Linked DNA regions of Notamacropus eugenii. The protein of the gene in region 2 purifies or fractionates together with the protein of the main gene of each other region. This does not show direct contact. Links are inferred from orthologs where the notes say so. Each region holds a gene or a part of one and is shown on either strand. Other genes may lie near its edges.

Region 1 (7,107 bases), on a different chromosome or scaffold from region 2:
AGCTCATTCACTATGTAAAACCAAGCTTAAATAAAATATACAGTACATGGCCCACATGTTTGTTATCTACAGGCAATGAATTTCATTTATATCCTTATTTCAATTAACATGGTCAACTAGGATCATAGATTTAGAGTCATGTTAACAAGCATTTATGGAGTGCCAACTACATGCTAGGCAATGTGATAAAACTGGAGAAAGGCAATGTCCCTATTCTCAAGGAATTCATTATCTAATGGGAAATAAAACATGCAAATACTACAAAATATACACAGAATAAATTGGAGAGAATCTCAGGGTGAAGGAGAGAACAGACTTAAGAAACAGCAAGGAAGCCACTGTCCCTGGAGGAAAAAATACATGAAAGGGGTGGGGAAAGAAAGTTATCAAGTAAGGTGTAATAAGACTGGAAAGATAACAAGGGGGCAGATTATGAAGCACTTTAAAAGCCAAATCAAATTTTATATTTGATCCTGAATGTAAAATAGAGTCATTGGATGTGACTGAATATGGGGAATAATTTGGTCAGACTTGCACTTTAGGAAGACCACTGACAACTGGGTGGAGGATGGACTGGAATATGGAGAGACGTAAGGCAGGAAGACCTATCAGCAGACTATTGCCATAGTCTAAGCTCCAAGTAAAGAGAGCCTGCACCAGAGCAGCGTTAATGTCTGAGGAGAACAAGGGGCAAATATACAAGAGATGTTTCAAAGGAAGAACAAATAAGACTTGGCAAAGACTGTCTATGTGAGGGTGAGAGAGTGAGAGAGGAGTCAGTGATGACACCCTCATTGGGAGCCTATGTGACTAGACCTAGGAGGGACCTTGGAGATAATGGAGTATAACATTCTGAACTTACAGGTGAAGCAATGGAGGCAGAGAGTGTTTGACTTACCCATAGTTACCCTAGGAATAATTTTTAAAAAGCAACTCACATATACAAAAAGCTCTAAGTTTAAAGAAAACTGACCCATGCCAGCTCATTTGATTTTTCTCTGAGACAGGTGCAAAGTATTAATCTATTTTACAGATGAGGAAACTGAGCATCAGAAAGGTTACATGCCTTGCCCAGAATCAGAGAGCTAAAGTGTTCAGGTGCAATTCTAATCACTGAGTCCAAGTCTTTTCTGAACTCTATTTACTAAGTCAACAGAACTGAGTTTAGAACACAGTTCCTCTGACTTCAAAACAATGCTCTTTGCATTACCACAGGCTGATTAAACATCATTAGCTATAATTATTCAACCCCCACTGAATAAATGGCACCCAATATGCTCTCTCATATCCAATGCTAAATCTATGATCCCATGAAAGGAATATGATGATGGCAGTAGGTACAACCATTTTCCGCTCATCTCCAATTTTCTTTTAATTATAATACAAGTGTCACCATTTTCTTCATATGAGAACTACTTCGCGTAACTTAAAGGTTTCTAAGTCTGACATTTCAATGACCAAGTAACTTTTCAAAAATAGATCAAGAGACAATGAGGAAGGCTTAGTACAGCAAATGCGTGTGGACTTGAAAACATTTACATGCTTCACCATACCAGGAAGGCCTTTACCATGGGCAAGGTCCCCTGGAATAGACACCAAATTCCTTTTATCATCTAACTCCCTTTGGGCCCATTTATGTGGATATCAGAACAAGCTTTCCACAGAAAAGGAGAAAAATCTGAAGTATGGCTTGTTGTCTCAATCTAATAGGCTCACTGGAAACTTCCCACTGTGTGTTTTATTTGAGAGGCTGGATTTCCATTGTTATTGTCTCTCTTGGTGCCTGTTTTCCCTGTCTTTTTCCTGCAAAGTGGCCTCATTTAGCCAGTACCAGTGCAATCCCTCCCACCACTAGCCATGAGCTGAGCTAATGAGAGAGAAGCTGGAGCAGCCTCTCAGACGCAAGCACTGCACTCATCTGAATTATTATTTTGTCAGGAAGGGGACAGGAGGGAATCGAGGAGGGAGAAAGTTTGTGTTTCACGCTATCGCTCTCCTTTTCGAAGAGGCAGGCGCTAACCCAAGGCGCTGCTGCTCCCCATCAGCGACTGCCTCCTGGGGGAGCTGGGGCCCGGGCTGGGCTGGGCAGAGCAGGGCCCCTGAGCGGGGAGGGCGGAGAAGCAGGGCTCTGCCCCTGCAGACAGGCCTGCCTGGCTCTCCCTCCGCCCGCCTGCCCGCCTGCTCCCCCTCCAGGGGACGGACGGCCTGGCTCCACACTCACTGGGCCCCAATGCCCTGCACCCACATTGTGGGGGATGCTCGACCGCCCTTACCACCAGGAGCTCCTACCCCAGGGGAATGGGAGGGCGATCAGCTCATGACCCTGTAGGGAGGCAGGGGTCCACGCAGGCCCGGGGGAGGGGGAGGGCCTGGCAGGCCCCTGGGCGAGGGGACAGGAGGGGAGAGGGGGGTGCCAAGGAGAGAGAGGCACGGGGAGAGGGGGCGGCCACTAGCAAGGCGGGGGGGGGGGGGCCGCGGGGGGGGGGGCGCGCGGTGGGGGGGGGGGGCGCGGGGGAGGGGCGGCCCTCGCAGGCCCAGAGGGAGGGGGCACGCGGGGCTCGGCGGGGGGAAGGGATCTGCCCCCCACCTCTCCTCCCCCGCCCTCTCCAGCGGTTAGGGTTCCAGCTCTCCCGCCCCCTCTTCCCCCAGGCCCGGGTTCCATCCTACCTCCGACCCGGTACATGTTGGCCGCCATGTCCGCCCGCCCGCCCGCCTAGCCCAAGCCGGAGCCGGAGCCGGAGCCGGAGCCCGAGCTGAGCCCCGCCCGCCGCCGCCGCCGCTTCAGCCTCAGCCGCCTCCGCCTCCGCTGCTGCTGCTGCTGCTGTTACTGCTGCCGCTGCCGCCGCCTCACCGAGGGGAGGGGGAGGGGGAGAGGAGGGGGTGAGAGAGGAGGTAGAGCAGGGGAAGGGAAGGGAGAGGGAGGGGGGAGCGGCCCGCCCCCCGGGCCAGCCACGGGTTAATAGGGCCCTGCCCTCGAAGGGGCGGGCGTGGGTGACTGGCGGGAGATCGCTGGGGAGAATCCTGAGGGGACCGTGGAGAGAGAGCTAAGGGTCTACAGCCTGGGCTTGGTGATTTCAGGGTCTTAAACCCATTAGGGAATTTAGGACGATCCCAGCCTCGATGACCTCCTCCCCCTTTTATCCCCCATCCCCCACACACCTGTACGCACAGTTGCTACTCTTGCCCAATCACCCCCTTTAGGTTCTAGCTCTGCAACTACCCTTGGGAGCTCGTGTGTGTGTGTGTGTGTGTGTGTGTGTGTGTTGCAGTTTGGGTGCACATAAGCCATACGTGGGAGTATGCTGTGGTGTTTCCTCAACTGCATGTGTGGCTCTGAGTTTACTTGGCTAGTCATGCAAGGTGAGAGAGTCTGATACTCCTGTTTCCCCTCGAAGTGTTCAGAACCGTGGGAGGGAACCTGGAGGTCGGACTAAGCCACTGTCTTGGCCCCTTAGTGACTGCAGGGACAACCAGCTTCTTCTAGGGCTGAAGACGAAGGTACCCATGAAGGCAGTCATAGCTTCAGAGGTGTACAAACCTAGGGAGGAAAGAACCCTAGGCAGGGAAGAATAAGGAATGATGCTTTCCTCTTTGCCAATACTTTTGGAGAGCTCAGCCAGCCTTCCTTCTTCACTATAAGGCTAGTCTTGCATGTTGAAGGAACCTTGTGCCGAACTTCCCCTTGAACTAGGAACCACAAAATACAAGGGAGGAGATTGGTGGTGGAAGACTGTTTCAGTCCCTAAATAACACCATCAATTTGTAGGTCCAGTTCCTGTCCTCTTGTCCCTTGGAAACTGCCTTTCTCAGCTGCAAACAGAGAGACCTATGAAGGCAAATATAGTTCCAGAGGACTAGGAATCCAGAACGAAAAGGGGTGGGGGGCAGAGGACATAATAGAAGGGCTCCTTTTTCTTTGTCAATGTTAAGGAAATTCAGCCAGCCTTTGCTGCCATGAGCATCCCCATTAGCAAGAAGCACAAGACAACTAGGTTGGTAGCGATGGACAGTAACAAGTTATTTGCAACTGAGCTTTCCACTGGGTCGTTATTTTTCCCAATTTGGTCCTCTAAACAAACCACTTGGTTTTGATATCCTTCATATCCTGACAAAAACAAGAAACCAAATAAAGTCTGAAGCTAGCTAGACATCCCCGAATGAACCCAAACAACCTTATTTAGTGAAACTAAACTGTTCCCAAGCTAAATCGGTTCCAAACTGTTCCCAAACATTGTTGTTTAATAAACATGAAGATGCCCCCATGCTGTTGTTCCTTCTTTGGAGTTTCTGACTGAGAAGCAGCCGTCTCTCTCATTAATTCCAGGCTCCAATTCTTGTAGTGTTTTTCTTTTAATCTCCAGAAGAGAAAGACTACTCTTTTAGCTTTCTGACAAGTCATTTATTTACTTTGATACAATAAACAGAAATTTTTTGATGAAATCAAGACTTTATGTGTAGCCAAACTAGAGAACTCAGGCTAATAAAAAGAACTCCACCTTTACAAGGGCTATATGAACCTTTGGTTTAATGCCTTTTCCTCTTCCATAAGAAGAAAATTAACAATGGTGAAGTTGTCATGATTCAGCTTAAAGCTATCACAATTGTACTAGACTTTTATCAAAATATCCCCTGACATAGGGAAGCTCTACCTGTCTGTTTCAAAGATGAGCCCAGGAAGACTTTTATTTGTCTGGTAGCACAGGATCCACAGAATTGTAATCAGAACATATCCCAATATCACCATCACTTTATATCACCTGAATCAAGGCCTGTCTAATTTATAAATTAGATAATGATGTAAAACAGGATAACACTTAAGGGGTTCCCAGTGCTTGAAACTCAGGGAGACAGACTGAGAGGCATTTTCCCCTGTGCTTTTTTACAGAGTTCTGCAAGTAGGGAGAGAGCAACCTCTCCTTTTCAGCCTCTTTTGACCAGTATTGACAACCTACAGCAAAAGCACTTGGCAATGATAGATATGTGCTTCTCCAGTCCTGAGGTGGAGTTTAAGACACTGTTCCTGAACCCCAGTGTAGAAGGAATGATTGTGAATTCCTTAAGCAGTATAATTCTGGCATCTGTTCTACTAACCAGGAAAGATAAATTTTCAGGGAGGCTTTGCAAGTTAACTCCTAGACAATTCCAAATTTGTTTCTGATTATAAATATTCATATACTAGTGTCCTAGAGAAAAAAGACTTCTTCAGCAGTTGGCTTCTTAGAGAGGAAAGAGAAGCACCCTTAAGTAGGTACCTAATCTAACCCAGCTGCTCTTCTCAGCTTCTTTATCCTTAGTATTATTTTTACTTCTTTATGTACCACATTAGAGACAATAATGTTAGGATCTAAATATGGTGGACTTCACTGTCTTTGAGGGAGAAAATAGGTTGTTGTAAAAAAGTCTTATAGAGCCTTTGCATTTTTCATCTTCTATTGTCCTCCCAGTTTTATCCTTTAATGCGCACACGATTATCTGGCTTTATTGGGTTTCTTGCAAGTTTTCTGTAATTTTTTTTCACTATCACTTTTCATTATTTTGTGAAGTGATAATACTTATAATCTTCTGCTATCCTCCCTTTTGAGATTTCCCCTAAAAAATGTTGTAGACTGGCATTGCCTTTGGCTGCCATATATTTCAGCTTGGCGAGAAGATCATTGTTCTACTTAATGAGGAATTTTCTTGGGTTTTTTGGCGTCTTCATTGTAACAAGTGATTTACACTAGTTAAACTTGATGGTTGTTGAACTGAATTGAATTCTTTAAAATGAAGTTGTATTGCCTTTTTCAATTCCAGAAAAAAGAGAATTAAAATGGGTGAGAATTATTATCTCTTTAGGCAATAGTGGTAGAACATCTAGTACTCTCCTCTCTTCAGGAAGTAGTGATTGTTTATGTTGATGTCTCTTCTTTTAATTCTCATTCTTTTGTTTGTTGAAGACTAGGTTTACACCAATAAGCTTAAATTCATTTGATAAATTAACTTAATAAATCTCCTTTCTACTGACCATATTTCTGTAATGTTCCTAGAATGTCCCATCACACTTTTTGGCTTAGGTGGTTCAAATACTTATGTAAAAATTGCAATTTTATCACGTCTTACTTCTTTGGGTATTTGTGAATAACTAAAAAACAAAACAAAACAAACTTGTCCACTATTAATCCCTTAATAAGCTAAATATATTCAAGCCTTCTTCCCAGTTTACTTTCTGCTTTGATTAGTCCAAAGTCATTCATTTCTGCTCCACATCCATGACTAACTAGACCATAAAGATAGCATTTACAACTATTTCAGCCATTTGTTCATGGCAGCAGTTCGCTATTTTAAAGCCCTGAGTTGTCTTAATTGCATGTCATGTCTTCTTATTTTTATTTGTTATTGATTTTGATCCTGGTTTTAACCAGTCCATATCTAACTGAACACAGCTGATTGGAAAATGACTTCCCTGCTCGTAACCAGTTGTTTCCTATCCATTACAACTGAGTCAATTTCAGATTTAGCTGTATTATTCAGTGTTTGTTCTGTTTCACACCTCCTAATTCTGTTGTTGAACAAAACGTTCATGATATGTAGATGTGAAGCTTCAGTGTAATCTACAAGTATTTGACCTCTTTTGTTTCTTTTTTATTTTGTTTCATGTACTTAAATCATATTTTCCAACATATATATTTTGGCCAGCACTCCTTAAACCCACATGTGCATTACAGTCACCACGTATTAAGGCATAAGTTGATTTAATTTGCAAGAGCTTATCACATTTTTTCATACAATTTCTCTACCTTCTCATCCTCTACCACAGCTGTGATCTACACCAAGGAAGGAAATACTTACATATATGAAATTTTAGGTCCATCAAAGTATCCTAGAAGTATTATTATTGATTGGATAAAAGAAGGATCTGGAGCTTGGAACACTGCCTTGGATAGCAAACCTTGGAGAGCAGTCCTCTCAGGGAGACAGGACTGAGCAGGTATCCTTCAAATATTATGTGTCTGGAGATGGGGTGGACTTGGGGGAGGGGAGGGTCAATGGGAGACAGCAAAGGCAAACTGGCTTCTGGCCTCATCTTTGACCTACAACTACTCTCTCCAAGATTACTAGAGATCTCTT
Region 2 (6,931 bases):
ACCTAACTACCTAGATGCTTAATGAGCACTAGAAATACAAAAATGTTCCTGAACATGTCCCTGAACTCAAGATTGCATTCTACAGGAGAAATACAACATTTAAGCTAAGTAAAAATATAAGTTGTGATTTCAATAAACACAACTATGGGGTACCAAGAATGGTTCCTGTAGAAAATGACACCTGGACTGGCTCCTTGAAGAAAGTTAAGGATTTTAATAGGGAGTGATGAGAAGAGAGTTCAACTCAAACATAAGCTAAATATAAGCAAGCTGGTTCACTCCAGCAGAATAAATAATAAAATTTTAACTGATATTTATTTCTGCACTTTGATCTGTATGTTTTGACGCCTGTATAGTTTATCTCCTCTACCAGATGGTAAACTTAAGGATCATACGTAATCCTTTCCTAAGTATTCCTCATACTATTTAGTATTATTTAGTAATATTTAGGTGTTCTTCATACAATTCCTCCTCACATATGTAACTGATAAAAGTACTGCACTAGATTAGTTAACAATTACTGTGTTTTTTGTAAATATATTATTCTAAAGTAACATTTCAGATCAAATATTAAGGTTATCTTGGCCACCTGTACTACTTAAGGGGAACAATACTGGCAATAAATAAACAGCATTCGAACCTAGAATTCTTCAGAAACAAATAGGACAGGTCAGTGATTTACTCAAAACTGGATTTTAGTTTCATATAGAATAGTTCATTTTGGAGCCAAATATAATCACTCAAAAATCTGAATCATCCACAGAGGAAAGAACAGGTAGAAAAAAAAACCCTATTATCCACACAATGATATGTAACTGGGCAGAAAATCTATATAGCTTGACTATTAGCATAAATCTTGTTCATATACAGCAAATGGACAATGAGTTGGACCCAAAATTGAAAAGCAAGAGAAGTTGGACTGCTTTTGAGATGTTGCAAAGGTCTTTTAATTACCCTAAGCCTTTAAAAATACGAGTATTTTAAATATCATTTTAAAAATACCAACATTCTTCTAGTGTTGTAGTGAGAACAGTGTCATTGAACACTAGTGTCCAAATAACTGAAAATGAGACTAAGCCAAAGGGTAACGGAGCACGCCCGCAGTGAGCACAAGCAAAGACTATATAAATATACAAAAAAAAATAAAGAAACATGGAATTATAGGGAGAAATAAATTAAAGAATGTTACTAAAGAATGTATGAGTGAAAAAGATAGGTTGGGCAAATGAAGTAAGAGGTAACTGATCTGACAACCCATGTGCACGATTACAACAAGGGAAAGGAAGGGCAGCCCTTAACATTTCAGGAGGCTCTGTGTGATGTGTTTACGGTAGTCCAAGGGGCAGGAATTGCATGTAACAGGTAGGTAAGAAGGGGCTGTGATTTGTACCCTTAAAGGGAGTACCTCCAGATCCAGTATTCTCACACTGCACCCTGACCCTTCCAGAAAGCTTGATTGGGTAGCCTAGCTCTGTTGAAATTAATCTAAGAAGGTAATCAGCTTCAGTCCCAAATCCTCCTGGCCTGTCTCAAGTCTTTAGGGCTTTCTTCTGCCCCGACATGGATCATGGTCTGCCCAATTGCTCTACTAGTTCCCCTAGTCCTCCATCCACTCTAGTCCAAAAACACACCTTCTCCATATTATGAAATCCACGTGCTGCAAGTATAACAATTTATTTCAATAAATACATGAGGTTATTTATGATTTCTGCCAATGAGAAAATGAGTAATTCATTACTACTCAAAGGATCTAGAAAACAAGCTCTTGATCATTTCAAAAATTAAAAACAGCAAAAACAAGATAAAAATAAAGAGGGCCATTAATGACAGGAGAACAAAAAAAAGATTAACCCATATGTATAGATTAAATCACAAAAAAGAGCTTAGTAAAATGGTCCTTTGACATATCATACTGTAAGACAGTATGGAGGTAGAAGTATTTTGCGATTATTTGTCCTAAAGAGCTTAAACAGAATTTTTGAAGGATTAATGTATTTTTTTATTTCTCCAGTTTTATAATCGGGGCAGCATTCAGGGCTGTCCTTGCCTCCCCCAGCCCAGGCCCCCTCAGCGGGCTCTACCACCTCCCCGCCACTGGGCACCATCCTCCAGAACTCTTCGCACGTCACACCTCCCAGCCATGCCGGCACACGAATCGCCATTTATCCGCGTTCTAGTCACAAGTGCTTCTGTCATGCCTATAATTACCACACCCCCGTCAGCCTTTTCAGGCCGGTGTTGTTATGACATCTGTCGCCGTAGCCGCGCCCCACCCCCACCTCCACAGCGCAGCGTCCTGCCTTGTCTCCCCCCTCCCCCCAAAAATACCCATCCGCTCCGCTTTGGGGCCGGGGGGTAGGTGGGGGCGCCCGAACTTGTGAACTCCCACCCGGACTGTCCCTTCCTGTCTGGATTAACACGATGTCACACACGCACGCACACACACACACACACTCACATAGCCTATGACAAGCTCCTCCGGCGCCCCCCGCCACCCCAATCTACCACGCAGGCACCGCGTCTAGGCTCGCCCTCCCCGCCGTCGACGCCCCTGCGGGCGCCCAGTCCTAGCTCCCCTCCCCCACACACACCTCCTCCTCCCTTTCCTCCTCCTCCTCCTCCTCCTCCTCCTCCCGCTGCTCTCGCCGCCGCCGATCCGCCGCAGCCGGCGTTCCCGACAGTGACCAGCACCTCAGGGCCCAGCCCCAGGCCGGCAGGGCCTCCCCAACGTTGCCGTTAGCTGCGCGGCTACAGGAGGAGAAGGCGCAAGATGACAGGCCCAGGGATCGGAGCTCGCGCCCTCCCCGCCCCCGCCCCGGGGCCTCTCCCCATTCCCCGCGGGAGGACAGCCCGGAGTGGGAGGGGGGAGGGAGGAAGAAAAAGAGGGAGGATCCTGGCGGACGCCTTCCCCTCCCCAACCGCCGCCACCCGCGCGCCCACCTGGTTCCGTGGCAGCCGATCTCGAGCGAACGGTGGGTAAAGTGGGGGCGTCAAGCGTCCGCCGGTTCTCTCGACCGCACAGCTGACCTGCGGCTTCAGAGGCGCTCACCAGGCCTCGCTCGCTCTCCGCCGCCGCCGCCGCCGCCGCCGCCGCCGCGTACCGAGCAAGCAGCCAGACCAGAGAAGCCGGCGTTCGGAGCGCGCCTGCGTGATAGCAGCTTACATACGTCGGAGGTTGGGAGGGGGCGGCCGGGGGGGGGGGAGAAGAGGGGGAAGCTCAGTTTCTACGCCTGCGCGTTCCCTTTCCGCGATTAGGGTCCCGGACAGGTTTCTGGGAATTGTAGTTCCACCCGCCCGTAACAGCTTCTAACCAACAGCCCCTCCCCCTTCAGCTTGTGTTCAAAAGAAGAAAAACTAGGATCGGTCTAGCTCAGAAAAACGGATGGATTGAAGATGAAGTCTGCAGTACTCGGTTTATATTGGGGAGTGAAGGGCCTGGGGATTAGGAGAGTGATAATAAGGAGGGAGGAGCAACTAGTGTCGGATTACTAGGGAAGGGCAGGGAACAGGCCTCGCAGAAGCTACCGGGAGCTTTGGAGCCTGGGCGTCGTCCCTCCGCGGAGGAGGGAGGGGCGCTCGGACCGGCCTACCCGGCCTTTTGGCCCGTTTCACGCACTTCCCTACGGTGGATTACGGCCTGGGGGACAATATCTCTTTGCTCTGTCTGCACTCGTCCGAATACCTTTCTGCGTTACTGCTGCCTGTGTTATCCACAGCCGATGCTTGATAAACATTTGTAGCCCCGAAGTCTTGACTTTGCCCTTTTGTTTCCATCCCGGGGAGGACTCCGAGCCCTAGCTTGGTTTATAGCCCCATGTGGTGCTTGCGGCACTGAGCTGGTCAGTATTGATGTGGACCTAGAAGCCGCATCTCCCTGACTTGAGGACGGCTCTAGAGCCCCTCAGCAGGGGGCCCGACGTTTGACTGCAAACTGTGCTGCTGACCAGCCTGGAAGATCGTTCCAACGCAGATGGGATTCTGGCTGATCAGTTAGCTTCTTAGTAGGAATGAATGTCCCAGCGAATCTGGGATCTCCTGACCTTGCCAAGGTGGGGCCTACCCAGGAGACCTGTTCTGATCCCTTTCTCTTGTGTCTCTCATGTCCAGGACTCTTAGAGTCACAAAGCTTCAGAGGCGCAAGCAGGAATTCCCTTCGTCCACCCCGTGGATTCTCAGCCCCTCTGACTTAGCATATGGCTTTTGAGAATTGCTTGTAGCTGAAAAGATGGCCCATTCCCCTCTACAACATCTGACACAAGTGGCCATCCAACCTCCTTCTGAAGAAAGCTACTTGGAAGGAGCCCACTACCTCCATCACATTTTTGTAGGCTGTGTTCAGTTAGAAAAGCTTCACAATCAAAGCAAGATCCCACTCACTGCTACCTCTGCTCTCTAAGGCCATGCTAAATAAATCTAATCCATCTTCTACAAACTGGGGAATAAAATACACATTGAAGTATGAACAAGGACCTGAGGACCATCTAGGAAGTGAGCCATATCTCTTAAACGAAAGTAGGGAAAACAACACTAAAGCTTTATTTAAAATACTCTTTTACTTTAACATAGTGTCTTATGTTTTGTAAAGCACTTTCCTCACAACCGCCCTACGATAACAAATATGATTATTCAGAGATAAGTCACTGGGTCATAGTCACCCTTTGGCCACAGTTACCTATCTCTAAAGCAAAGGTTCCCAAACTTATTTGGCCTATCACCCCTTTTAAAAAAATTTCTCAGTGCCCCTCCCAGAAATCTACTTTCTTTAACCCTTTAACTTTTTTTATTTGTGTCATTTCAAAAAAATACAAAATATTTTTTAAATGACACATCTTAAATTTAATAATTTATTGTAAATTTGTGGGGGCTTTCCTTCATTGAAATTTTGATGATGCAATATTGTGTTATGTAACTGTATAGTATCATATCGTAAACAAGTCATTACCTGCACATATTCCTGCCAGCGCGTGCTGGACTTCCAGACAATGCACAATATACTCGCATGCCAATACTTGCTTATTGAGACCTGTCAGTGGATTTGACCGCTGATTGGTTGTAACTTACATTTTGTGTGTATATTTGGAAAATGTAATCTCATTAATTCTGTTACACAACAGATGAAACATGTACCAACCATTTTTCAAAATTTTCTTATCTTCTTTCCTTATGCTTTCAACACCCTTTTATTTTTATTCAATAACCCCCAATTGCACCCAAGACACTATGAGGCTAGTACTACTGGATTATTCCAGTGCCCCCTGGGGGGTGGTATGGCCCACTTTGAAAACCTCTGCATCTAAAGCATCAAAGGCAGAATTCAAACCTAGTGGCTCCAGGCCCAGCATCCAGGGGACCATTCAAGCTCTGCTGGCCTTCACTGTCATTGAGGTAGCTCTGGCCATTGGAACTACCTTCCTCTTGCTGTTCAGGACAGTAAATGAGGCCACAGGGATGAAAGCCAGGCCCAGTAGTTTTCAAGTAGTCTCAGGCCCACTGTCCAGACAAGACTTCAGACCAGAGGAAGCTGTTTTCAATGACAATAATAATTTTCAGTCCTGCCTATTATTTGTTTTGTACTTCTTTCTCCCACAATATCACCTAGTACAAATACTCAGAAGACAAATAGGAATTGAATGAGAAGTCTGTCCTAAGCGTGGGATGATGGAGGTTAAAATGACTATGTAGTACCACAGCCCATATCTTTCTCCCTTGTTCAGTCAAACGAAATTGATCCCTGGACTACCAAGGGAAGTGGAAGGAAAGAGTCTGGGGTTGGAAGCCCAAAGAATAGTGTTTGAGCCCTAGATCTGATTTAAAGGAAAAAGTCATTTAGCACACAATTTCTCATTTTCATATTCTGTAAAATAAGAACAAAAATACCTTTTCCTGATTAGCATGCAGCCTTGCTGAATTAGGATAAGGTATGATAATAAATGTAAAGGTGCTTTGAAAAAAATGTTCTTCTTCAAACAAAAGTACCCATTGTTTAGTGTCAATATGTACTCTCTGAGGACTCAAATTGGACTCTCTCCTGTAGTCAATAGTCTCTGCAGCAGGGTCTTTTCCTTTCAGTGCTGATTCCCCTGATACTGGTGGCCTGGGAAGGGAAAGATCTCTCTAAAGCAGAGGTGTCAAGGTATTCATCCAGAAGAAATCAAAGCTATCTATAGTCATGAAAAAATGCTCTAAATCACTATTAGAGAAATACAAATTAAAACAACTCTGATGTACCTCTCACACCCATCAAATTGGCCAATATAACAAAAGGAAAATGATAAACTTTGGAGAGAATATGGGAAAATTGGGATACTAATGCACTGTTGGTGGAGTTGTGAACTGATCCAGCCATTCTAGAGAACAATTTGGAACGATGCCTAATGGGTGATCAAATTGTGCATACCCTTTGATCTAGCAATACCACTACTAGCTCTGTATCCCAAAGAGATTATAAAAAAAGGCAAAAGGACCAATATATACAAAAATATTTGTAGCAGCTCTTTTTTGTGGTGAAAAAGAATAGGAAATTGAGGAGATGCACCAGTTGGGGAATGGCTGAACAAGTTGTGGTGTATGAATGTAATGAAATACTATTGTGCTATAAGAAATGATGAACAGGCAGACTTCAGAAAAACCTGGTAAGACTTAAATGAACTGATATACAGTGGAGTGAGCAGAACCAGGAGAACATTGTACGTAGTAATAGTAAAATTATGTGATGATCAATTATGATTGACTTAGCTCTTCTCAGCAATACAATGATCCAAGACAATTCCAAAAGACTCACAAGGGAAAATGCTATCCACATCCAGAGAAGAACTGATGGAGTCTCAATGCAGGTCAAAACAATGTATTTTCACTTTCTTTACTTTTTCCCATAGTTTTTCTGTTTGTAAACTATTTTATTTTTTTTGCAAACTATTTCTTCTTTTATAAC

Evidence for each region. Proteins that work in one complex are often made in the same cells at the same time.
Region 1: the proteins of KPNA1 (region 2) and MTA3 purify together in Homo sapiens (affinity purification with mass spectrometry; 3 studies listed by BioGRID and IntAct, with this or other methods). This does not show direct contact. The link is inferred for Notamacropus eugenii from reciprocal best matches to the Homo sapiens genes KPNA1 and MTA3.

The regions. Positions count from the first base shown.
Region 1 is NC_092872.1:667,600,284-667,607,390, forward strand, and holds the start of MTA3 (metastasis-associated protein MTA3), read right to left. Parts: upstream 3,010-7,107; 5' UTR 2,696-3,009; coding exon 2,668-2,695; intron 1-2,667. UniProt on the Homo sapiens protein: Acts as a component of the histone deacetylase NuRD complex which participates in the remodeling of chromatin.
Region 2 is NC_092876.1:342,694,590-342,701,520, reverse strand, and holds the start of KPNA1 (importin subunit alpha-5), read right to left. Parts: upstream 3,070-6,931; 5' UTR 2,941-3,069; intron 2,699-2,940; exon of another isoform or gene 2,592-2,698; intron 1-2,591. UniProt on the Homo sapiens protein: Functions in nuclear protein import as an adapter protein for nuclear receptor KPNB1. Binds specifically and directly to substrates containing either a simple or bipartite NLS motif.